3 linked regions of the Struthio camelus genome follow. The main gene of each other region encodes a partner of the protein of the gene in region 2 in a complex. Links are inferred from orthologs where the notes say so. Each region holds a gene or a part of one and is shown on either strand. Other genes may lie near its edges. The genes, in order: RAMP3, CALCR and RAMP1.

What was found.
Region 1: the proteins of CALCR (region 2) and RAMP3 are in contact, whole or in part, in a cryo-EM structure (PDB 8F0K), measured with the Homo sapiens proteins. The link is inferred for Struthio camelus from reciprocal best matches to the Homo sapiens genes CALCR and RAMP3. Residues at the interface, in NP_001158210.1 of Homo sapiens: Arg45, Lys46, Met49, Asp50, Gln52, Tyr53, Lys54, Tyr56, Asp57, Met59, Gln60, Arg74, Thr75, Trp76, Asp77, Gly78, Asn124, Arg126, Phe235, Leu238, Ile242, Thr246, Gln257, Arg258, Trp261, Tyr262, Leu264, Leu265, Phe269, Ile276; in NP_005847.1 of Homo sapiens: Cys57, Leu59, Ile63, Tyr66, Glu67, Thr70, Tyr83, Trp84, Pro85, Gln90, Ile93, Thr94, His97, Arg98, Phe101, Ser102, Cys104, Val106, His110, Leu111, Glu112, Asp113, Pro114, Val118, Leu119, Leu122, Ile123, Pro126, Val127, Leu129.
Region 3: the proteins of CALCR (region 2) and RAMP1 are in contact, whole or in part, in a cryo-EM structure (PDB 9AUC), measured with the Homo sapiens proteins. The link is inferred for Struthio camelus from reciprocal best matches to the Homo sapiens genes CALCR and RAMP1. Residues at the interface, in NP_001158210.1 of Homo sapiens: Arg45, Lys46, Met49, Asp50, Gln52, Tyr53, Tyr56, Asp57, Met59, Gln60, Gln61, Thr75, Trp76, Asp77, Gly78, Asn124, Arg126, Phe235, Leu238, Ile242, Thr246, Val250, Ala251, Gln257, Arg258, Trp261, Tyr262, Leu265, Phe269, Ile276; in NP_005846.1 of Homo sapiens: Trp59, Ile63, Tyr66, Arg67, Ala70, Asp71, Phe83, Trp84, Pro85, Val89, Asp90, Phe93, Leu94, His97, Gly98, Phe101, Ser103, Arg109, Ala110, Val111, Arg112, Asp113, Pro114, Ile118, Leu119, Phe122, Ile123, Pro126, Ile127, Val129.

The regions. Positions count from the first base shown.
Region 1 is NC_090943.1:62,830,974-62,838,985, reverse strand, and holds the start of RAMP3 (receptor activity-modifying protein 3), read right to left. Parts: upstream 3,089-8,012; 5' UTR 2,886-3,088; coding exon 2,831-2,885; intron 2,244-2,830; exon of another isoform or gene 2,229-2,243; coding exon of another isoform or gene 2,219-2,228; intron 1-2,218. UniProt on the Homo sapiens protein: Accessory protein that interacts with and modulates the function of G-protein coupled receptors including calcitonin gene-related peptide type 1 receptor (CALCRL), calcitonin receptor (CALCR) and G-protein coupled estrogen receptor 1 (GPER1).
Region 2 is NC_090943.1:27,947,435-27,955,489, forward strand, and holds the start of CALCR (calcitonin receptor), read right to left. Parts: upstream 3,080-8,055; 5' UTR 2,916-3,079; coding exon of another isoform or gene 2,887-2,915; 5' UTR 2,566-2,886; coding exon 2,477-2,565; intron 1,882-2,476; exon of another isoform or gene 1,672-1,881; coding exon of another isoform or gene 1,664-1,671; intron 1-1,663. UniProt on the Homo sapiens protein: G protein-coupled receptor activated by ligand peptides amylin (IAPP), calcitonin (CT/CALCA) and calcitonin gene-related peptide type 1 (CGRP1/CALCA).
Region 3 is NC_090947.1:4,641,266-4,648,762, reverse strand, and holds the start of RAMP1 (receptor activity-modifying protein 1), read right to left. Parts: upstream 3,025-7,497; 5' UTR 2,922-3,024; coding exon 2,879-2,921; intron 1-2,878. UniProt on the Homo sapiens protein: Accessory protein that interacts with and modulates the function of G-protein coupled receptors including calcitonin gene-related peptide type 1 receptor (CALCRL) and calcitonin receptor (CALCR). Required for the transport of CALCRL to the plasma membrane.

The sequences.
Region 1 (8,012 bases), about 35 Mb from region 2:
ATATAAAATCTATGAAATCTACATGGGAAAACTGTTCAAGATGGTAACTGTCATGCAATCTGTCTCTTTCTATAGAGATATTTTATATATATTATATATGTATGTAGAGAGAGAGAGAGAGAGAGAGAAACTCCTCCAGAATTAAAAAAAAAAGTAGCTTTAATCTGGTACAAATAGTACCCCTGAAATGCAGACATTATCTAAAGGATGAAAGAGCAAATGTTTGGAGAAGGAAGTCAAAATAACAACCATTTGTTTAAAACAAAAAAAACAAAAACAAAAAAAAAAACACAAAAAACAACCTGTTCTGTTAAACATCCTGGTCAAGCCCTGAAGTTTCTCCATGCCTGTTTCTATACATAAAAAGAGAATAACCACATCTCAAAGTATTTTGCTAAATACATCATTGTTTCCAAGGTGATTAGATGACAGTAAGTAGATGCCTTCTAAGTATCTAAGGCTCTGCTAAACAAAGTATGAGGATTTCACCTGACAGCTCAAGTTTCCAGCTGTGCATCTCACCACATTTGGGATGTTATCAGCACTTCATAGGGGGAATCAGTACAGATTAACTGTTTGTGTACCAGCTGCCTCAGCTCACAGCTTCCCCGCACACCCACATCACAGCAAATCCCACTTCTGCAGTAATTACTAAGCTTCCAGGGAGCAAACACGCTGCCTGTCTTGCCATCCTGGCAAAAGAGTGATGACACTCAGCAGATGGTTCTGTATAGTGATAATGTTTTTTAAGAGCTTTAGACAGAAAGATATGCAGAAAGCAGTAGTTTGAGTTTAGAGAAGTAAGGTCTCAATCCCTATGCAGACAGAATTCCCACCGAATTCAATGAGAGCTAACACTGAGGCATCATGGCAACATCTTTACCTTAAAGACCGCATTCATGGGTCTCTGGTTAGCAGAAGCCATTAGGAAACGTGGAAGAAAACATGATCAATTCAAGTGAAAATCCTTCAGGAATAACTGACATAAAAGTACATTTATATTACTTGAGAAAGAACGACTTTGGTTTTCTGCCACTTAAAGCATTCCTTATCATGAGGAATTCACATTATAAAACTTTCAGAACTCCTAAATGGCTTTTCTAGCAGGAAATTAGTCTAATTGCATTTTGTTCTTCAGTGCATCTACCCTTTCAAACTTCAGTCAAAAGTAATACATTATCAGCTAACAGATACCATCAAAATCAGTTCTTCTGCAACCTTATGTTAGGAAAGCAACTAGCACAGGCAAAAATTTCTAACACCTGATTTAGTGGTTAGTGTCTCTCTGGTGAAAAACGTTTCCTAGCTTTCTGAGCTACAAGGGACGTTACTCCTCACTGCGCTCATTCTCTGAAAATAAATCTCCGGTAATCAGGTTTGTATTGTAAAAGTCACGACAACACCCTGATGTCTTCCCAGTCAAAAAAAAGACTGCTTGGTTCCCTAAATTTAACACTGAAAAAATAAATCCTTAAGCGTCAAGACAGGTGTTGGCCATTTTTTATTCTTTTTCAGTTAGGAAGCAACAAAAAGCTTGTGTGATCAAGGTAAGATTTTAGCAATCCTTGAGCCACAGAGAATCAGAAAGTTTAAGCATTTGATGTGTCATTCTTTTTACAGATCAAATCAAGACAGTGCTACCAAACCTTGTCAGAAACAACTATCCATTTATTTATAGGTCTTTTCACAGAAAGATGTGCAGTATTTGCCAACTTTGTACTTTGAAAGGGGCATCAAGTTAGCAAACAAAGTTAGAGAGTCCTCAGATAACCCTTTTAAAATGTATGAGGCCTGATTTTCTTCCCTATCTGTGACTCACAAGGAATTAACTCACATTTCTGGGGTTACTGTAGAGTGAGGAAGATCAGAACGGACTTCTCCCAGCAACTTTAAACCTGCCTACAGCACATTACATCTGGGCATCCTAAAGCAAGCTGCCTGACAAGAGAAAAATGAAGTACTTCTAACAGCAGAGTTAATCTTGAATTAAATAAATGAAGGCTCTGAAAGATATCTGCACTTTTACAACCGGCTGTTTGTAACAGAACACATCCTAACTGCAATCAATCCTTCAGCAGAAGCAGAAAACCCTCCTCTTTCCCAAAGATCAAACCTGCCTTCCCAGAATCAGATTTGGGATCTGACAGCTAAATAACAGCAAAAATCGGTCAGATCATCTTTCTTGGGGTGGGGGGAGGAGGGTAAGGTATCAACGCACAGTACAGCATTTCTGGATTTATCTCCTGGCAGTATCCGTCTGCGAGATGTGGGACCAGCGATTAAGCAGCCGCTCGCCTTGCTGATGTCGCGTCTTGCCTGCCCGCCGGCCCTAGCCGCTGTAGCCGGTGCGCAACCCGCTGTGTCACTCCCCACGCGGGGCTTCGGGAGTATTTCCCCAGCGAGGCCGGCGGCTCCAGCCCGCGGGAGAGCCGAGGGGGGCCGAGCGCCCCGCAGCCTCCCCGCCCGGCGCGGCCGGAGCGCGGCTCGGGCGGGCTCCCCCCGCGGGGCAGCCGCCCGCCTCTCCGCCTCCCTCCCGCGCCGCCCGCTCCCCGCGATGGCTATCGCAAGGGACACCCCCCCCCCCCCCCAGCCAAGAGATGATCCGCAGGGCCGGGGGACACACGCACGGCGGGGAGCTCCCGCCTATGCCCAACTTCATGCCCGCCCGCCCCCGGGGACGCGCTCGCACGGCTGAGGATGCTCCGCAGCCCCTCGCTGCCCCCCCCCCCGGCAAGGCAGGCGCAGCGGGGACACCTCGGTGGCCGCCGCTGTCCCGGAGCGCCTCGGCACAGTGGCCGGGACGCCCCCCCGGCAGGCGCCCCCCACTTACCCCACAGCAGCAGGACGGGGAGCTGCCGCCGGCGGCAGCAGCTGGGCGCCTCCATCCCGGCGCGGGCGGCGGCGAGCGGCCGCGGGGGACGGAGCCCGCATGGGGCGGCCGGTCCGCAGCCGCGCAGGGCTCGGGCCCGCCTCAGCCCCCCCACCGGGGAGGCTCCTCTTCATGCCGCGGCGTCCAGCCCCGGGCGGCGGCGGCGGCAGCAGCGGGGGCGGCGCGGAGGGGCGCAGCTCCTCCGCCCCCGGGTGCTCTGAGCGCCGGGGGCGGCCCCGCGGCCGGGCGGGGCCCGCGGGGGCGGGCTGCGGCGGGGCTGCTGGCGGGGGCGTAACGGCCTCGGAGGGAGCTGTGTGCGCCTATGTGTGCATGCATGGTGCGTGCGAACGCGCCCGTGAGTGCGTGCATTTGCGTGCCTGTGTCCATGCATGGGTGCACTCGTGTGCAAGCATGAGTGTGCTTGGGTGCACATGGGTGCATGTCAGTGCCTGCATGTGTGCATGCATGTTGAGAGTGCATGTGTACGTGTGTGTGCACATGTGCATGCATGCTTGGTGCATATGAGCGCACAGGTCAGTGTGCATGCATGTAAGTGCATAGGTGTGTGTGTGTGCATGTGATCACGCACACATGTCAGTATGTATTAGAGCATGCACATGTGAGTGTACACGCATGCGTACAAGTGCTGCCGTGCCTCTGGGCCCTCCAAGAGCCACAGCAAGCCACAGGAATCCCATGGGAGACTTCTTGCCCCCCCACCCCAGGAGTCAGAGTAGCCTCCCCTCTCTTGCTGTGACACGCTGGCAGCACGGACAAAGGCGTGAGTGGCTGGAGGTCACTGGGGACCAACATATTAGCCTCCTTAGTATTTACAGCTGAATATGTGCAGAGAGCTATCCTAACCCTGCACTGATGCCAGCACAGAGGAGCCAGGACCTTGAAGAAAATGCTTAATGTATTTTCCTGTTGCCATTTTGTCTCTGTACAGCTCTATCCAGAGGGGGAGTGGTACAGCTCCTCATTGTCATCAACAGTTAAAGGCTGTGTTCCTGGAGCTCTCTCTCTAGGAAATTAGCATCCCTAGCAAGAACCACCACACTGAGAAGCCACTAATGAAGCCTTTTCTTGGCTAACAATATTTATACTGTTCAATTTTAATAAGGAGCCAGAGCGTGTTTCTAAGTACAGGAACGCTCAACCTCAAGAACTGCGTGTGAGCAGAACATGAAGTTACTGCCATTGTTGAAGGTCGGATGTATCGCAAAACTTGAGACTTCAAAAAATGCTAATGTCCTACACAAGAACAGATGTACATTTCTGCATCAGTTGGGTTGTTCACATTGACTTTAAATACTGCCTGGAAGAGTAACTTTCAAAGTTTTTGGAGAGTTCCAGCTAGTGACCCCAATGCTACAGGATTATGCTACCGGTATCTGAAGGCAAAGTACTCCATACACAGACTAAAAGCAGCCGTCTAATTTATGCTGTTATCTAGGCTGAAGGAAATGGAAAACTTGAGAAACCACAGAGATGATTGTGAATGCAATGTGTTGAAGTGGCTCTACAGACATTCAAGTGCATAAGTTACAATGAACCTCCTTTATTTGCGTGCCGCTTCTTCCTCTTAGCTAAAAGCAAATCTGGTAAAATTCCACGGGCCATAAATAACCAATAGGTCAGGGAGATCCTCCTTCAACTGAGGGGCTGGCACCTCTGCTTTGCAAGGAGTATCTGCAAGCTACTCCTATCAAAAGGACTACAGAACGCAGAGTAGTGACAAGTATGAAGCTCCACACGCTGCAGACTCACTATAGCATCCCTCCTAACAGTGAGATTTCAATTTCCCTTTCAAAATCTGTTACAGTCAATCTCTGACATCACAAATAGTATTTCCAAGAATTTGGACCAGTCTTCAGGAGTGTTAAGACACTCATATACTTCATATACTGCAAATGATGCAGCATACATTATACATATATTTTACAATATACATTATGCAGGATTGGAGATGATGCAGACATTTTTCTTCTAATCTATTTTCAATATCTTCACCTGTTTCAGATTAGAAAAAACTCCATGCAAAACTGGCAGATTTCTAGATTCACAAGTTACTGCTTTCAACTAGCAAGATTCAGCCAGAACTTCCCATTTTATATCTGTGGCAGATATTATGAAGATGCAAGTAAAACCTTCAAGGTAGAACAACAGCTAAAATTTACAGGCAAATGCACTAATTTAGAAATGGTCCAGTTATAATAGAGCACAAGCAAACTATGCTGGCCTGTATCTTCAGCTACATGTATTAAAATGAGTAATTCTGATATGCAGGTATATCTGAACAAAATTGTCATGGGATTAGAACTATCAATAACAGGCAACTTTAGCTGTGTAAAGGCTTTCACTAACACTGTTTCTATCAGTTGCAGTAATGCTAATACATTTACTTCAGAAAGGCTGTGAACCTTTTTATTTTGCAAATCTGCCTCAGCAACTTCACATCTCTATACCAGCAGTGGAAATCTGTTTCGCCTTCAAATAAGAAATCCTACAAATTCTAACTGCTGTATATAACTCTAAATCCCTTCCTTGACAAGAAGCAGTAATAATATTCTCAAAAGTATAGTTTGTTGTAATTCTCAAAAATACAGCCTCCAGAGAAAACAACCCATTTTCAGGTACCCTGCAGAGAATGCTGCCATCACATCACTTCAAGCATTGTTTCAGATACTTATCCTCCTAATAAGCCACTGACTAGAAAAATGACAGCAACAGACAGGTAAGTGGCTGTCGCAGTGTTAAAGTTCTCAGGGAGTTTGAAACAAGAAAAGGGAGGTGGAATCAAGCCAGACAGGACAGGTATCATCATGAGCACCAGATCATTCATAGTTGTGTGAGATAATGTAATGAAATCTCATCTGCAGAGGTTAAACTGATCCTGCAGAAACAACTGTTCAGAAGAAAACTAGGTAAAGATACTACATCATGAAAAGTAACATTGCCCTTCCTTGTAGCATGAAGTGTTGGCCTTACAGAATACCCACTTGTCTGTGCAGATCGATATCTGATCCACTGCGGGCCAGAAGGTTTTCTTCTGTGGTTCCTAGCAAAATAAGTAGTTTTGTATAAAAGATATATTAAGATTTTAAAACCACATCTTAATGGAATTGTTTACTGAAATGAGGTCTGGAAGAGCAGGTGGAGGTTCAGCTCATCTGCCTTTTTTGTTTTTAAACTGAGAATATGTCATCTTGCTTTCAACTGGTTAATCTTTCTTCTCCCATTCAGCGGTCCTACGACCATGTCTTTCCTATTCCAGAAATTTTAAAAAAATACATAAAAAGGACCTGAATTAAAACCATTTCCTCCTCTGTGTTCTGCTTGCATAATTTCACGCAAACATTTTCTCCTGTCTTTTTTCTCCAATGTAGAAAAAATACAAATATATTAAAAATATTATTATTAGTAAATGGCATCTTCCTATGACTGAAAAGACATTTTTCAAAGACCAGACTGTGGTATTGAGTGCACATAAAGCTAAAATGATTTTAAGCACATCAAATTTCACTAGCTGAAATTCTTTATGCCTACATGACCTGAACTAAAGAGGGGGGAAAAAAAGACATTTTTCTATGTAAATACCTTGATTTTCACATAAGAACAGACACTGATTATGGGAGTACACAAATACTTATGGCACTGTTCCAAAACTTTAAGATACATGTGAATTTGGTCTGTGATTTCAGTGGGGTTCTTATTGGTTAGATGCTTAACTATCAGCATCATGTAGGTATTTCAAAATACTGTCATTTTCTGAGATGCTGAGCTACTCAATTATTACTTGGCAGCATTCCCATTGGTATAAAATGTGTACTTTTTTTAAAGGAATTGGAATATTCATATTTTGTTAGCTTTCTTGTATTTTAAAGTGCATTCATGCAAAAAAAAAAAAAAAAGAACATAGCAAGCTACTATTACACGCCATCAAGGCTAATAAAAATGGCTTCAGAAGTGTCAAGACAGACATCAAGGGAAAGCAGAACAGATATTATATGGAAATGAATTTACTTCCAGGATGAAATAAAGAACTAAAGTAGTTCAAGTGAATTTTATTTGCTGTGAAAGAGGATGACTTTTGTTTATTTTCCCCCTACAGCTGTATGTACCCTATTCTATCCTCTAGAAACAAGAAAGATTCTTTTAAAGTAGTGTTGTTAATCAAATTACACAAAATAGCAATGGACAACGATAGTAAGGACTCCAGATAGAGGCCTTCTGGCTCCTACCCCCAAACTTCAAATGCAAGATACATAACGAAGGTAGGAAACATTCCTTGGAAGTCAACAAACAATCCCTGCTTTGGGATGCTAACAGAGGGATGGTAGGAGCAAATTCCAGAGTCAAGGGCTCTCCGCTAAAGCGCCTGTCCCTATATGTATGCTGATACATGGGGGCTTGAGAATGGCAGGATAGCTTAAAATACGTGACTGGAAGCTTGGGCATAGGGTTAAGCCTGCTCTGCAACTGATCTATTGAAGGACTTTTCTTCCTGCTTCGGTTCCCTTAGCAGCAGTAATATGGGAATGCAACTCATGGCACAAAGCTTTGACAGATATAGATGGCTAACATGCTATTCATTCTGACTTTTACTCCATCTGATCTGGCTTGTTTTATGATCTATGTTATAAAAGCATCTCTTCAAGGGACCGCAGAGCTAAACTGTAGGAGCTAGTATGTGTAGCTGATTTCCAACTGTTTTTCCTCTTATCGTAAGAGGCATTCTAGGATTGTGCTTGACTCTAGTGATACACCCTGTGATCTTTTCTTCCTGTTGCGCATTACTATTCATCTTTTTGTACATCAGGCAGAAGCGTGAGTATAAAAGAAAGTCTTTGTAATTTGGCTCAGGCGTAGGAAACAAATCATGCCTTCATTTTTAATGTAAACAAATCATGCCTTCATTTTTAATGTAAACATTAATAAAATATGAACAATGCTTTATTCCTCCTAGACCAAATAAAGCCAATATTAATCTATGCTCTTTTAAACACTTCACTGTATGGTATGTTTTAAAGGCCCTGAATTTTTACACAGAAAATGCATTAAGTTCTCTCATGACAGACTGTCTGAGGAGCTTGGGAAATGCCAACAGGGAATATGTATGATGTCTCCATACATGGTTGTG
Region 2 (8,055 bases):
AGTTAGCATATTTTACTGCATATAGCTGAGTACTGAAACATTTTAGTTCATTTAGAATAATTTAATGTTAGCCAGTATATGACAGCTATAGTAAGCATCGCAAAGGTAACTTAGCAAAGGTTACTTACTGCTAAAGGTTGTCAGATGTCTGAAAAAATTAAAAGGAAATATTAGCTCTCCTATATTTATCTACTTCACACTTATGCTTAGGATTCTGAGTGATAAATTAAATTCCCTCTTCAGCTACATATCACCTGCAGCTTGAGCTGCTGGTAACAGAGAAACCTCGCCCTGGTCAGCACTGATACTCTTTCAGCCCTCAAGAAATGCAGGGTCCCTTCCAGTGACCAAAGACACAGGTTCTCCACCCGAATACTGTCCTATGAACACAGGGGTCCTGAATACTGTCCTATGAACACTTTTCCACCAAAGAGGAAGCTTTATTTGCTTCAGTGCCTACAAAAAGACAAATGCATTTTGATGCGCTGACTTGATTAATTTACTCTAAACTCCTTTTACTCAGATTATTTAACTCTCCTGTAAGAGAAAAAGAGCACAGTCCTGGGAAGAATATCATGTACTGTACTACCCTTAAGAAGAGGAAATGATAGTTGGTGAACTTAAAAGCATGGCAGGAAGGCATTTGTTAGATATTGAAGATATCAGCTTCAAGGTCTCAGGATACACACCTTTCTATTTACTCCTTTTTTATCAATGACTTTTTCGTCCATTATTTCAGCTACAATCGACATCCTGTAACTGAAATAAAACAGAAGTTTTTCTCTTTTCTTTACAAATTGTCAACTACCTTAACCTTGTCAAGAAGCCCACAAGAATGAAATCAATACAGCAATTTAAAGACAAAATTGGCAGGCCTTTCTATTGTACTTGGACACATAAAGTAAATAGTCTCATATATCAATGAATTGTCATCAATGGCAATATTCTGAGACCTAATAATGTTGTTTTTACATTTGCAGTGTCAGATGAGAAAGGAAATACAGATATCAGTTCGACAGATGGAAAAGAACATGGAAATAATATCTGACACGAACGAGAAACATTGCCTAGTGACTCAGGTGTCATTTAAATGCCCTGTACTTCCAGGATGGAGAACTGCTACTATCTATAATTTATACCGCATTGGAAGCGACCTGCTCCTCAGCGCAAAAGCTAAAATAAAACTCAAGAATTCATAAATTCCCGTCGCCCTTACGCAATTTAACCCCTTGGCAGGCGGCCACTGCCAGCACCGCTCGGCAGGGCCGCCGGGGCACGCCAGCCGGCCCGGCGGGGCGCCGCGCACCCGCGCAATCCCCGCGCAGCGCCGCCGCCGCCCGGCCCGGCCCGCGGCCGAGGCTCGGGCGGCTCCTGCCCACCCGCCGGGAGGGCAGCGCCGCGCACCGCAGCCGGCAGCCCCCGGCTCTTCCGAGGGGGCAACACCGCGCACGCTGCACCTGGGGCTCCTGCTCACACCTCCTACGCCCCCCCTCCCCCCCTTTTTTTTCCTTTTCTTTGCTCTGCTGGCAACCAGGCTTTGCCCCCCGAAGCAGAGCCCCCCTCTCTCCCTACCGCGGGTCCCGCGGCGGCATCCCACCCTCGGCCGCAGCCCGCCCCGGAGCCGGCGGGTTGAGGGCAGGCGGGCGAAGTTGCCGGGACTTACAGTCGCATCGCTGCCGGGCGCTGGCGGGGCGCCTCTCCCGGCCTCCCGTCACCTCGGGCCACCGCGGCAGCGCTTGGGCTCCGCGACGAGCGCAGCCCGCGCTCCCGTCAGTCAGTCAGCATGGCACGGCGGCTCCCGAAACGCCGGGCCGGGGCCGGGGCCGGGGCCGGGGCTGCTCCTGAGCGCGGCGGGTCCCCGCGTCCCGGCGGGCGCGCCCCGGCGGCGGGCGGGCGGGCTGAGCCCCTCAGCCGGAGCACGGGCGGGCCGAGCCCCTCCGGAGGGGATGTGCCTCGGGAAGCATCTGCCTCCTCTCGCCCGCCTCGGCTGCAACGCGCCCACCCCCCGCTCCGCTCCGCTCCCCGCCGGGGCTTCGCGCCGACGCCGACGCCGGTGCGGGGCGGCGGAGAGCGCCCGGCGGCGGCGGCGGCGGCAGCGCCTCCCCCGCGCCCGCCTCCCGCGGCCCCGCCGGGTGGCAGCCGGCGCCCTCCGGGGGGGCGGCCGGGCGGGCCGAGCCGAGCCGGGCCGGGCCGGGCTTTGACGCACGGCTCTGGCGTGGGGGCGGCCGCCTTCTCGTGGGCAGCGGGACCGTCCCCGCTCCGCGCCGGGTCGCCGCGGCTGAGCGCGCTTTCTGCTGGCGTGAGACGGGGGCTGCTGACCCGTCCTGCGTGCGGGGGGCAGCCCCGGCCCCGCCGCCCGGGCCTGCGGGGCGCCCGGCTCCCTTCCGCGGCGGCTCCGCGAGGGAGCGCGGAGGGGCCGGCCCGGCGCAGCCACCCGCGCTCCTCCCTGCGCGGCAGACAGAGAAGTTCCTCTGACCTGAGCCCAGCGTGCCGGCTCCACCGCGGGCATCCTTCGGAGGAGCAAAGCCAGGGAGGCGGAGGGCGAGGAGGGTGCGGCGCCGCCATCGGCGGAGCCGGGCGCGGGGAGCCCCCGCCGGCCTCCGGGGCGCCGTCCCGCGTCCACCGCGCTCGGGGGCGGACGGTCTGCTCGCTCCCCTCTCTGTCTGCTGCAGTTTGCGCGAACTACTTCCCTCTCCGTTCCCTGAGCCAGAGAGGAAGAGCAAGCGGTGGCTACAACGTTCACCGGCCAGCAAAGACATCTAAATTCCAGTTTCTGCTCCAAAAGTTATGTAAGCATTTTAAACAAAGGGAGAGGCTGAGGACAGCCTCTAGCCTCCTAAGAAGAACATTCCCCTGCTATACAGAAAGCCAGAGGAAGGAACTGACCCAGTAATGCCCGCTTTGCAAGAGAGCATGTAGGGATTGCGCGTGGAGTATTCCGGGAGGACTTCTTCTCTGTTTTAACTATTCCAAGCTGCTTAATATTTAAATCTCCACCGAGCCACAGTGAGAGAGACCGAGAGAAAGCATAGTGATTCACCTCTGCACTTCTTCCAAATGTAGCAGTGCAGACAGCAGGTAGTAGGGTGTCTTCCCAGCAGATGGAGTCAGGAAGCAAACCAGCTTGCTAAACAGGTAACGCCACCAGGCTAAGAATAGCTTTTCTCTTTTGTCTCCCTGCAAGAAGGACATTTCTGCCCTCTAATAAAAGGAGCTTTGACATCTGCTTTTAAATCTTCTGACTTACTTCTGAAGGGAAAGTTAGCTCTTACTGCAGTGGTTCTCAGATGCTTTTCTTCCACCCAGCAAGGTATTCCATGCTTCCCAATTTTTAAAACTGCTAAACTCATTACTCACTTTCTCATACAGCCTATGGCAAAATTCAGCCTGTCCTTAAAGAAATCTGCATGCAAACATAGCAGACTGCCTTTCTATCCACTTCCACATGAAGGAGGAACCCATTGCCATGTTTTCCAGCAGCTGTGTAAAAAGTTAGCTCTAGACAGTACTATCAGATAAATCTGTCCTTTGGATATATTCACTGGGTGGGGGAGAGGCTTATAAAGATGAGATGCTCAGGGAATACTGATCTAAACCATCATCCCTTGATTTAAACTTTCACTGTAGGTTTCACACTTTTTCTTGTGGAGGCAAGGAGAATCAGTGGGAACTGCCTTTATGAGAGCTCATAATGCCATGGTTGCTTCTCTGTTCGGAGCTTTCTCAGGGAGAAACAGTGAAGTTAGGGGAGGTTTCTGTTAATTCTAGAACTGCTGCAGAGCACCCCTGTCGTCTGCCGGGAGTCATGTCCAGCTGCTCTTAGGCCAGCTCAGGTAAGTCACAGTTTTAGGTGCTGAAGATGTCTGCGTAGGAAGAGCTGTTGAAGCACTGAAGCAAAACCATGAGCTGAAGCCTAGAGAGAGCAGGAGAATTCCCCTCCCTTTCACTGTAACGATAAGCTGAAAGAGGAAAAATAGGGAGCTTTCCTCATACCTGGTAGCCTGGAATATTTTCTCTTTTCCAGTGGTTTTAGAGGTAGGTATGTGGGTGGGTAACGAACTAAGTACAGATTGCTTTAAAAGATACAGAAAGCAGCTGGACTACCTGCTTTTCTCAATGGTTGAAGGCAAGCAACTAATTTCTTACTAAAGGTTTTTTGGACAGTGGATCCATCTCTTTTCTTGACGTGTCTGTTGTCTGGCTAATAGTTTTCATTCTATGATTGGAAAATGCCACATTCTTAATGACTGTTTTTATACTTACTTCAAAACAGATTTTATGTTTCTCTGTTTTCTCACTGAGTACTGTACATCTGCTGAAGTATAAATCTGTCATCCCATAATCTGCAAATAGTTTTTGTACTTCTTTTTTTTTCTTTAATTTACATAAACTCCCTTTTGTTAACCATTACTTTGCACACAGAAGCAGCAATTTCTGATTTAGTCTGTTCTGCTTTAGGCAATTCCATTGTGCCCCATGGGACTGCAAGCATGAGTAGTTACTATTTGGCATGCATGTGCAATGCTGACCAGGCCCATAAATAATCATTGCAAATCTATTATTAACTGCACCTTGATAGTTTTATTTCTTTCTATTTGTGCTCAGGAGTCATAACAGCAGTCTTGGACTTCTGTACAGCAGAGGCAGCTAAGCTGTTATTTTATGTTGTGAGGGGATGGTATTGCTTCATCCACGAGAAGTTTAAAATGTCAAACTTGGTTCCAAAATTTCAGTGATTTCTCTCTGTTATCAAGCTAAACATACAAAGGAAACTTGTATCTTTTTGCAGTTTGGCTCATGGAAAATACATTTTTTCTCTTTTTACAACATCACCAATTTTTAAAATATATTTTGTCTACTTTTAATTGTATTATAAGTAAGCCACTTGTGAAACAAACACTGCCCTGATTTTGTTTTGAAATTTTGGTGCAGAATTTGAAATGAAAATCAAAGCAGTTCCCAGCCGGACTCACAAACTTTTCACGGGAGGCTATGGATAGACGCATTTCCACAGTCTTCTGTGAAGAGGTCTGCACTGCAAGCTCTTTGGAGGTGAACAATTTCTACTCATGGTCTGCATATCTTCCTTAAGTGGCATGGTGCACCACACAGGGATTATCTGGAGTTTAGTCCTTTCAGATAAGGATTTGTTCACATCTAGTTGGTTTGGAGCATAGGAAGAGTTGAGCTTTGAGCTGTGTCCAGAAGACCACGTAAGCATGCTGTACCTTTTGGTAAGCAGATTATACATAATTAATTTTAGTAAGGACTACATTCTCTATTTGGAAGACAAAACGGAAGGTGTAGGAGACAACATTTAAGCAAAGATGATAATAGTAAATTTGGCCTAAAGCAGTTCAGGGTGAAGAGAATGGGGAATTTGCCATTACCTTGAGTACAAGTTAGATCAGGCCCATTAAGTCTTCCATGAGAATATTTAAGTTGTTTACATGTGACTTTGTAATCGTGACTTTGCGCTCCTAGAACTCACTGGCTTGAAAACTCTGAGAGTAATTATAGCGCTATTAGCAGCAACACAGACTTCCTAATTGTGCCTGCCTGCAAATATGCCCTGTGAGAGGGAAACGTGTATGGTCAGTATAGCTACTGTTCACGCTATGCATCTGGCATGGCCAGGGTAACTGCTGGGTAACTGGGTAACTTCTTTTAATTTTGAAAAAAACAGGTCACTCTGGGATTAAGGATTTGCAGAACGACAAGTTTTCAGCTTCATGAAGCTGCTGTCAGTTGAAGAAGTCCACACCAAGCGTATAGGGCGGTATCAGGGCAAGTGCGGAAATGCTCAGGTGGCTGGAAGGCACAGGGACTGCTTAGTCTAGTGCTGCTAGGGGAACACAACGGTGTTGTAGACGTAATTAGTAAAGTTCCTACAGACAGGTATGTGAGTACATTTGGTGAACGGGGAGGAGTAAAACCAGAAAAGCAGAAGAGAGATAATCAAAATGAGGCACAGTGGGTGAGTTACTCAGAAGTCTGGGGCTCTGATATGTTGCACAACTTAGACTGTCAGTTCTCACAGGTTAGCACAGGGTAAGATGAGCTGCTGCATAACATAGCACAGAATGTCTTTAAACATACATTTACCCCATATCTTTCTTCTCTCAGCAAGTAGAGAGACAATAACAATTGTCAGCCTAATATGTATTTGAAACTCTATATTATGTTAAACAACTTCCTGTACAGCAAAATATTGTTATTTTTTCATATGGATTGCACTGTACATTGAGCCAAGTGTGTGCTTTTGAATTATCAGAACCGCTGTGCTTGGGTAATGCTTAATTCTGGTTATGCTATAACTCACGTATTATTTCTGCTGCCAGTGTAGCCTCTGTGAAACCTCATCCATCTTGAACCTCTAGTTCTCTACAGTAAGGTAACAAGAATGGAGAAAGGAGGTTTTGAGAACAGCATTTTCAGTGATGTGGTAGAGTTAATCGGTGTTAGAGAAATCAAAAGAGAAAGTTAGAAAAAAGGATGTGAGAAATGGAGAAGAATACTTGTCTGGACAATTTCTCTAACTATTTAGACATGCAAAGCATTAGTTTTTAGAAATATTCTGAGGAATATATTTTAGAAATATAGTTGGAAAATAGCCTTGCAGAAGGAGGAAACCTTATCTGGGTCACAAACAACAGCCTAGTGATGGGAATTTTATGTGTATTTTATTACTAATCCCAGAAACCATCAAATCTTCCAATTAACTGTTTTTTTAAGGTAATCTTTTTCAAAATTAATGGATTAATTTTGTTAGCCTTGTTTTTAGAAATCTGAAATTCAAGGTTTATGTGTTTATCCAACGTCAAACATCTGATTAAAATGATATACAAATTGCCTTATGTCATGATAGATTTAATTCAGTCAGTTTCTTAACGTACAGTAAAATATTAGTAATTAAATTCTTCTCCTTGCTTAAATGTCTGGTTTTAATTTATCTGAATTACTTTATCAACGTACTGATTCTTCAATTCATATCTCAGGACACTTGTAGAGGATCTCCAAAAGAGTTTTGTAGTGAAAGCAAAAGAGACAAGTGCCTCTGAAAGAGAAGAATCTTATTTGAAGGCAAATCAGTAATTAGGAAACACAGAAGTAAAAAAGAAAAAGGGAAATGAAAAACACAAGAACATCAATTGCTTGCATGTTTTCACAGGACAAGGAAAAACGAATAGATTCCCTAATGTAGAAATTTCATTTATTAGTATTTATAGTCTGTTCAGTTTTCAATATATGAGACTACTTTAATTTAGTAGATAGTAATATATGCTACCCTTAGTAAAGCACTCCATAATTATAAATATTGGTGGCAGAAACGGAGCATGGTTTGCTTGCTCTGTACAGAGGAAGAAAACAAGAAAGCAAACAGGATAATGAAAACCTAGGCAATGGGATAGTTTCCAAAGAGTGAGCATCTGATTCGCTCAGAATCAGCAGGTATTTCCAGGCACGCTGCAGAAGCTCATATTCTGGGCCACTCCAGCCAGTGAGTGGGTGTGCGTGGATTCTGGAGACAATCTGAGCCAAGCATCACAAGAAGAGCTTTTCAGGGGAACTAAACACACCAACAGCAGCTAGAAATGTCTTCGCTACTGCATGTACGGTATATAAATCATTAAATATTATAGGTTACACAAATCTGCTTTGGAAATTATTCCAGGAGCAGTATGAAATTTCCTCAAAGCACTGGCAGGCATATTTCATAAATCAAACATACTTGCAAAGTCCTATTAGCATAACTTTTACACTTATTGCTTCACTCATGTCTTTTTTATAGGAGAAACTTCATGTTATTTGGAGTTATAGACAATGCAAGAATCTATCTATTAATGCCTAAACATATCTATGTACATTTACAGAGGTAAAGTTTCATACCTTTGTAAGAATGGCCCAGGGCCTATGCATCATTCGGGCCTTACTTATGCCCTTGAAATAAGTTTTAAGTAAAACTAAAGTAGTGCATAGGCTCATGTTGGTTCTGTGAACACTGGCGAAATTTACCTCAAATCTTTATTCTGCTGTGTGCTCCTGTGAACAGTG
Region 3 (7,497 bases), on a different chromosome or scaffold from region 2:
ACAGTATCGGGCGATTGCCCCAGGAAGCCCCCAGAACAGCCCTTCCCCAGGCTCGCGGAAATCTCTCCCCGGCCGAATCCCTGCTACCGGGACCGAGGCAGGACCAGCCAGCGGACGCCCTGGATGTAACCACCTCCAAGACGAGAAGGTGCTTCCAAGACTAATACTCTTCACGCAAACAAGCAGATGGCCCGCAAAGAAGCGACCACACGGATAAATCAAATGCAGTAAGGCGGGAAACAGAATAAACGGCCGCAATGCCCCGTGGGCGCGTTCATCAGAGGCTGCAAAGAGGAGCAAGTTGCCTAAACGCTTTCGACATAACGGTTTCCAGACTACAACCTTCCCGCGAGCAGCCTGGGAACAAGCTATTTTCCTTTTTAAGGGTTTTCTCCCCTCGTAAGCGAGCGACGCTCTGCAGCCAGCTCTTGCAGCAGTAGGAGCTCGCTCGGGTCTAGTGATGACTCTCAGTTTGGACCCGTCGCTTTCAAAGCTCTCAGTCCATTCGGCGAGAGCGAACGAGGCGCGCTGCCTCCTGCCTGCCGGCCTCGGCAGGGAACCGCGGCCAAAGAACCGGGAAAAGCCCCATTTTTTAACCTTTACCTGAGACCTCAGGGTGCGGCTACACCTTGGGTCTGCTGACTGAGATTGCAGCTATTTTTGGACAGTTGACATCCTCACCGTCGCGGCTTTTTAAGGACTCGGCAGCCAGCTGCAAAGTCGCTTCAAGCCCGGGCAGCTCAAAAAGGCTTTTTCGGCATAGAAAAGGAGGCTGAGCTGATGCTGCCAGGACGGGCACCCCCGGGGCCAGGGGGTGTCACGGTCCTCGCTGAGCGCGGAGCTGCCTCACCCTCTCGTGGCCCGGAGCGGGGGGGGGGTTGCACGCGGATTTAGGAGGCAACATCTGGCTCGGAGCTAACGGGAGTCTGGCAGCGCCAGCTCACGGGCTCCATCCCCGCAGCCAAAAAGCCCTGCAAAGGCTCCTGCGGGAGACAGGGAGGACGCGTCGAATTGGTGGCGTGGTTTTGGTTTTTTTTTTGCTAATAGTGCAGAATGTGCTCAAAAAAAAAAAAAAAAAAACCCAGTGAAGAGAGGACGCAGGACAAACCAAACGTACCCACCGCTCAGCGCCGCAATTATCTGTCATCTATCACGGCTAAGTGGCTTGCACAGAGGGAGCCTTCCTGCTGCCACAGGCTGCTGGGAAGGCAAGAAAGCCCGAGCCGGCTATTCTCGAACCGCAGCGGCACCGTTTCTCTCCCTTTCGGACCGGGGGGTCGGAGAGTGGAGACCCCTCACTAAAACCAGGATAAGCCAGGAGGGAAGCACAACCAAGAAACAGCCATGCTCCCGCAACGGGGTCAGAGATGCTCACGCACCGCCGGCCCAGCCGGGATTTCCCACTGCGTTTCCGTTTTGCCGGCGAACGAAAGCGGCAGACGGCATGGCAGAGGCTGGGAGAGGGCGCTTGTGCTGTACGGGTTGGTTTTAGTCCGGATTTGGGGTGCTGCAGCATGTTGTTGCTCCGCTGGAGGTTTCCCAGTCCCTCGACCGGCGAGGCCGTCCCAGTTGTGAAAATAACCCCCGGGAATCCCGCTCGCAACTCAAATCCTGCGCTCACAGCTGGGAAAAGCGGCCCACGACGGCACACACAGGATCCCCGCGGCGTTACGGCTCCGGGGACGGCAAATAAACACGAGGGGTCGGTGGGTTTTGTTTTTTTAGGACTGGGCTCTCGCTAAGCATTCCCGACGGGGCTCCTCCTCTTTTTTTTTTTTTTAGCAGGTTACTATAATATTACATTTGATTGTCTCGCGTGAGAAACAAGGGGGCAACCAATGCTTAACCTGCTGGCGGGTAAGAAAGCCTAAGAAGCTGATTTCTAATTTGTTTTTAAAGAAACAAAGGGGAAAGGGACTAGAAAAACACAGCAGAGAAAAATCCGAGATAATCAAGAATTGCTAATCGCAGGCATTAACATGATACTGTTTCCTGCTTCGTCAGGTACACTGAGCGTTTCTCTACCACCGACCACGGAGAATGCGTTTTGTCTGACCGCGCCGTCTTGTATTTCCCTGTGAACAGTCACAGGCTGCAAGATAGTAAATAGTTTATGACGCTGCACGGAGAAGAGCGTTGTATGCGGCGGAGCTCGATACATTATTTACCAGGGTTTGGAGCAGAAAAAGAGCGCGGGAGAACGGACAGGAGGAGAAAGAGAAGAAATCTGAGTTTCCTCAAAGAGTGCTTCAGTTTCCTGCCAGCTCAGTGTCACAGGGATGGTGTGCGGTTTCCCTTTTAAGTCACCTTAAATAAATACGCTTCTTATTCCGAGTGCTACCAACGCAGGGTCCGGGTTTTTTCCCCCCCCAGCACTGAAGAAGGCCGGAGCGCCCTGGGCGCAAACCGTCGCGTAGCGCGAGAATTTCCAACCTGATTTTTGGACCGGCAGCACCTAGCGAGTCCGAAACCTCCGCGAGGGAGACGAGTGGCGAGAACAGTCGCGGCCCTTTCCGCGTGTCCCGTTCAGAAACGGTGGTGGTTGGGGGCGGCGGGGGGGGATCCTGAAACAGCCTCCTGGTAGCTGATCTGAACTTCTGGAAGAAAGGGCAGAGGAAGTCATCCAAAGCGAGCAGGCTTTGGGAAAACCTAAGATCTCAGAAAGGGCGTCGGGCGCAGCGGGGCGCGCCAGGGAGCACCGCTCGCCCGCCCCGGCACGTTTAGGGGCCGCCTTTAGGCTCCTTGCTATTCCCCAGCGCTCGGAGCCGCTGGGACGGTACCTCCCGGCAGGAAAAGGACGCTAACGCACTGACCCGAGGAACAGCCCGGCTGCCTCTAAGCCCCGGGCGGGGGTTTCGGCGGCGGGGCGCGCACTCACCCAGCACGAAGCAGAGGAAGCGCCGAGGTAGGAGAGCCGCCATCCGCGGCGCCGTGGGCCGCCCGCCCGTGGGAAGGGCGCGGGGGCGGCCGCGCCGCTCAGCCGCTCCGCGCAGCCACCTGCCCGGCGGCCGCCGCCGCCTCCCGAGCCCCGCTGCGCGGCCGCCCGCGGGAGCGCCGCCGGGCCCTCCCTCCCTCCCTCCCTCTCCCGAGCGCTTTCCTCCCGTGTTGGGATTTCTGTCCTGTAAACCGTCTCTAACTGGTTTGTCGGAGTGGTGGGTTTGTTTGGTTTTTTTGGCCGGGGGGGGGGGGGAGCCAACCACTCTTTGTGATGACTTCAGCTGAGATTTGTCACGCCCAGCTGAGCTGGAGTTAACTCCATCTTCTCGGAGCAGGCAGGTAGGTGTCCAGAGACGGGGAGCGGGGCAAGGGAACGGAAAATTTCTCAAAGGAAAACCCAAGGAAATCCTTTCTTCCCCACACGTTTTCCTTTGCCCTCCTTCCATTTTTTGCTAAGGTGCTCCCTCTAGCCTAAGGAGAAGAAGCATGCCTTCCCTTTCTTTGTTTACAGACTCTTGGACACTACCTTCTTGTGGTCATGCAACTTCAGAAAGAATATACATACATGTATACGTACACACAGGCACCCACCCACCACATATGTATGTATTACTTGGAGTGCAAAAGCATTGTTGAGCAAGTAGAGCTCCACCTGCAGCTCATCGACTGAACTCTTGCCCAGCCCGAATGTGGAAAGGTGCCTCGCTTGGGCTCTTCAGAAATTTAAGAGCACACACATCCAGACGAACGAGGTCTCCAGCTGTACAGAGGTCAGGCGGAGCAGGAGGTGCTCCTCGCCACCCCACAAACGCCTTCTCTCACCGTTTGAGTTAGCTCTCCCTTTGAAAAGGCTGCATGAACAAGCAACCGCTGCAGCGTGCCAGGCCTCGTTTCAGCGTTTCAACATTAGGCATGCGTCTGCCTTCCCAACAGGAACAAAGCCACAAAGTCAGCTTTACCTACAGCACTAATAACTCCTGTTTAATTACAGAATCAAGTCTGGGGAAGGGAAAGGGCAGCATTGGCTGGCCAAATAACAGGGCAGAGCAAAGCCTAGAGCTGTTTTAATCTTGATGTGAACGGGGAAGAAAACAGACCCGAGGCCTCAACTGCAGCTTCAGGATCCAACTTAAAAACATCAGCTGCGAAACACAGTGCTAGGCTTTGAGCACGTTGTCTGCAATAGTTCTGCTACGAGGAGAGGGAAGAGATGAAATGTGAAAACAGCAAAACATAAGCACAACTTTTTGAAGAAGAAATTTTAACCTTTATTCACAGGCAAGACAGACTCTTTTCAGCAGCAAATGCAGCCTGGATCGAGAACAAAGTATAACAAAGAGAGAGATTTGGACAGCCACAACGTACTGCCTCGCCATGCGATACGGTAACATGGGCCTGGCAGCAGCAAAGATAGTTCTCCTCACCCCCTTACCAGACACATACACCCAAGCTGCCTTTTCTTCATCTGCTAGAAGAGGATTTAAAAGCTATACCCCTTCTGTACACTAACCACACACACAAAAGAATACGCTTGCATCCCCCCCATCCTTCCCCCTCCCCTTGTGTCAACTTATGCAACGCAAACCAAGTTTCCTCTGGGGGATGTCCCACTATACCAGGCTATGTGGCACAACGGAAGGATTTAGGCACCCATCCTCTGTTTACAGCCATGGAAGTGGATTTATAAGACCAAAAAAAAAAAAAATTCCATATTCTGAAAAGAAGTCTAGGGTGGAACATCATCCTGAAGGAAGTATTTGGCCATCAGACTCAGAAGCACGTTACAGAACTGCCAAATGAAAATGGACTCAAGATCACTCTGCTCCTGAATAATTGCTGCTGTTGTAACACTGCAGTTTACGTAACAAAGTCCATGAGTATGGGAAACACTGAGGCCTGGTTTTGTAAAACAAAGCTTCCTCTGACGTCGTCCCTTCCCTGCCTTGTGTTAAAAGGATACGTGAGATTTCTACAAACTATTCAGAATGAGATGATCTGGAAAGAACTTAAACACGTTGGCAATTTATTAAACATGTAGTACTTTGAACCAACTTACCAGCTACCTAAAATGCCTAAAATTAAGAGGTGTATAAGAATTAAGGGGGTTGTCTACTTCAGTGATCACTAAGCATAGAAACGTCCTTCCAGTATTGGAGAAGTCCTGTTTCACTGAAACATTCTCCTTTAATTATATCACTTAGAGAAACCTGTTGTTGAATGCTTGAGCCAACTGTGGAGAACAGGAAAACTGGGAAGAACCACTTAAGATCTTCATACACAAAAAGACACCCCCAAGCGATCTTCAGGTTATTTTGTCTCGCATAAGACCACAAATCATGCGATGATGCTACGTGAATTTTCATTAAGATCCGCTGCAGTAAAACCAGTAAGAAACACAATATGATCCTGGAACAAGCTGGAGTACAGAGTTTGCAAAATCTTCCAAGCGAGATGATCAATTCCTCCTTGTCAGAGAAATCACCTTAAAAACAAACAAACAGAGGAAGCAGGTAAATTTAGCATGAATACACCTGAACTGAGATAAAAGGAACACCAGCAAATTTAGCGTGCTAGAAAAATCAGTAAAAGCTATGATAATTTTGCTACAGAGTTTGGAGGAAGTCTGCATGCAGAAGTTTCCTAGCTTCAAGAACCATGTGAAAGAAGTGATTAAAAAGAAAATAAAATATATAATCTCTGTGTAACAAATCTGGTCGACACTGGTTTAAAAAAAAAAAAAAAAAAAAAAAAAAGGAAGATGTAAACTTTACATTTTAGAAATCCATTCCTAGAAACCAGTTTATAGTATAAAAAACAAACCGAGTTTCGCTACCAGTTTTCTAAAATCCAGACTTGAAAGCAGTGAATACTACCAGTGTGTGCATTTGGGCTGGACAGAATTTCGGTATCACTCAGGAGTGCCAGATGGATACCCTTAAAATAAAACATACTTGCCAAAAGACACTGTACAGATTCCATGCATTTCTTTATGTTGCTCAAGTAATGCATTTTAATCATGATTTGATGGGACAAATCTCAATAAGCAGAAAATGTCTGTTTTTAGATCTTTACTATTAATTTCATGGAAAACTACCAACTGCAGACACTGGCACTGTAAGGGAAACGGCCATTTTTAATACCACTCTGAATAGCTGTCATATCATCGCATTTCTTGTTAACTGTTGACTGCCATTAGGTTTAACAACCTCTCACCTGTTCTAATGAACTTATGGCTTCAAAATTAACAAATATGCAAGATCTATAAACATTTATACATCAACCTCTGGGCTAATTCAGCCAAAGCGGGGCAGGGGGAAAAAAGTGAGTCGGTAGGATGCTTTGAAGCTGAATTTGTTATGCATAAAATGCTGCGTAACACAGCTTGACATAAAAGTAGTATCTATAAAACTGTGTTCCATGTTTCACCACTTTGCAAGAACATAAGGTTTCCAAGTGTTTACCTTTCAAGGAAGTCTGAAGCTATACACAAACCAGAATTTCTATAAAAGAACTTTGACCAGAATCATTTTTTCTTAAACATTTGACTTACACGCTTACAGTTCTTCCATTACTCACTAATGACTTGGCTATTTCACAGCTCCCTCATTATGCAAGTAAAAATTGTTCTAAATGATCTCTCCTTAGCAAAGCCATAGACCAAAAAACACTACTGTCGAAGTAATTCTGACTGCAAAGCACTCATGCTATTTTAAAACCATTTGACAAGCGCAACACACGCGAAAGCTATTAAAATCTTACTAATGGAAAATACTGTGAAGTATAACATAAGTTTTTTTGATGAGTTTACATCCGTATTTGCAATCCTGTAGAAGTAAATCAGCAGATCACTATTAAGACTTTTTTTTTAAACATTGTTTTGATTCGTACGGAGCATCAGCAAAAGCTTACAAGGTAGTCAAGTGCCAAACCAACAAACGTGCATTACATTAGTCACTGCAAAAGGAACTCAGCCAAGCATGCATATTGGTTGGGAGTCTTTCACCCTCACCATCACTACAGCAGGTATAATCTCATGCTGGATTTAAAATCCTATCCAATGTTTCTGTATTCAGCACTTACTCTACATTCAGTCTTTCTGAAGGACTTCTCTGATCACTGATAGTCCTTCCTAGAATAAGGCCTGGGGTGAATTAATGACCAAGAATAGCCTATAAGCAAGTATTTGTACTGTTAATGCATCTGTGGAATCGTTTCTACTCCAGGCTTCTATTTCACCTGGTTGGGCAGGATCGATTTCTATTACAGTTCTAGTATTTAATGCACAAAAGTTCTGCTCAAGTTAAGGTTTTGCTGTAGTCTACTTATATGCTACTGACACATGTACATAAATACCTAGCCTGGAGAATTAAGTCTGATAAACAACATGCAAAGGGTGGTAAAGGTCCTTACAGTTGTCCAGCTATCACCATAAATACTACTGGTCTTGTAATTAAATCAGTATCTCCTCTTCCTAGTATTCCACACATCCAAACTGACTCCTTATATTCTTGAAACCAAAATCAGAGCATGAAGAATTTGGTACGCTTTGGGAAACAAACA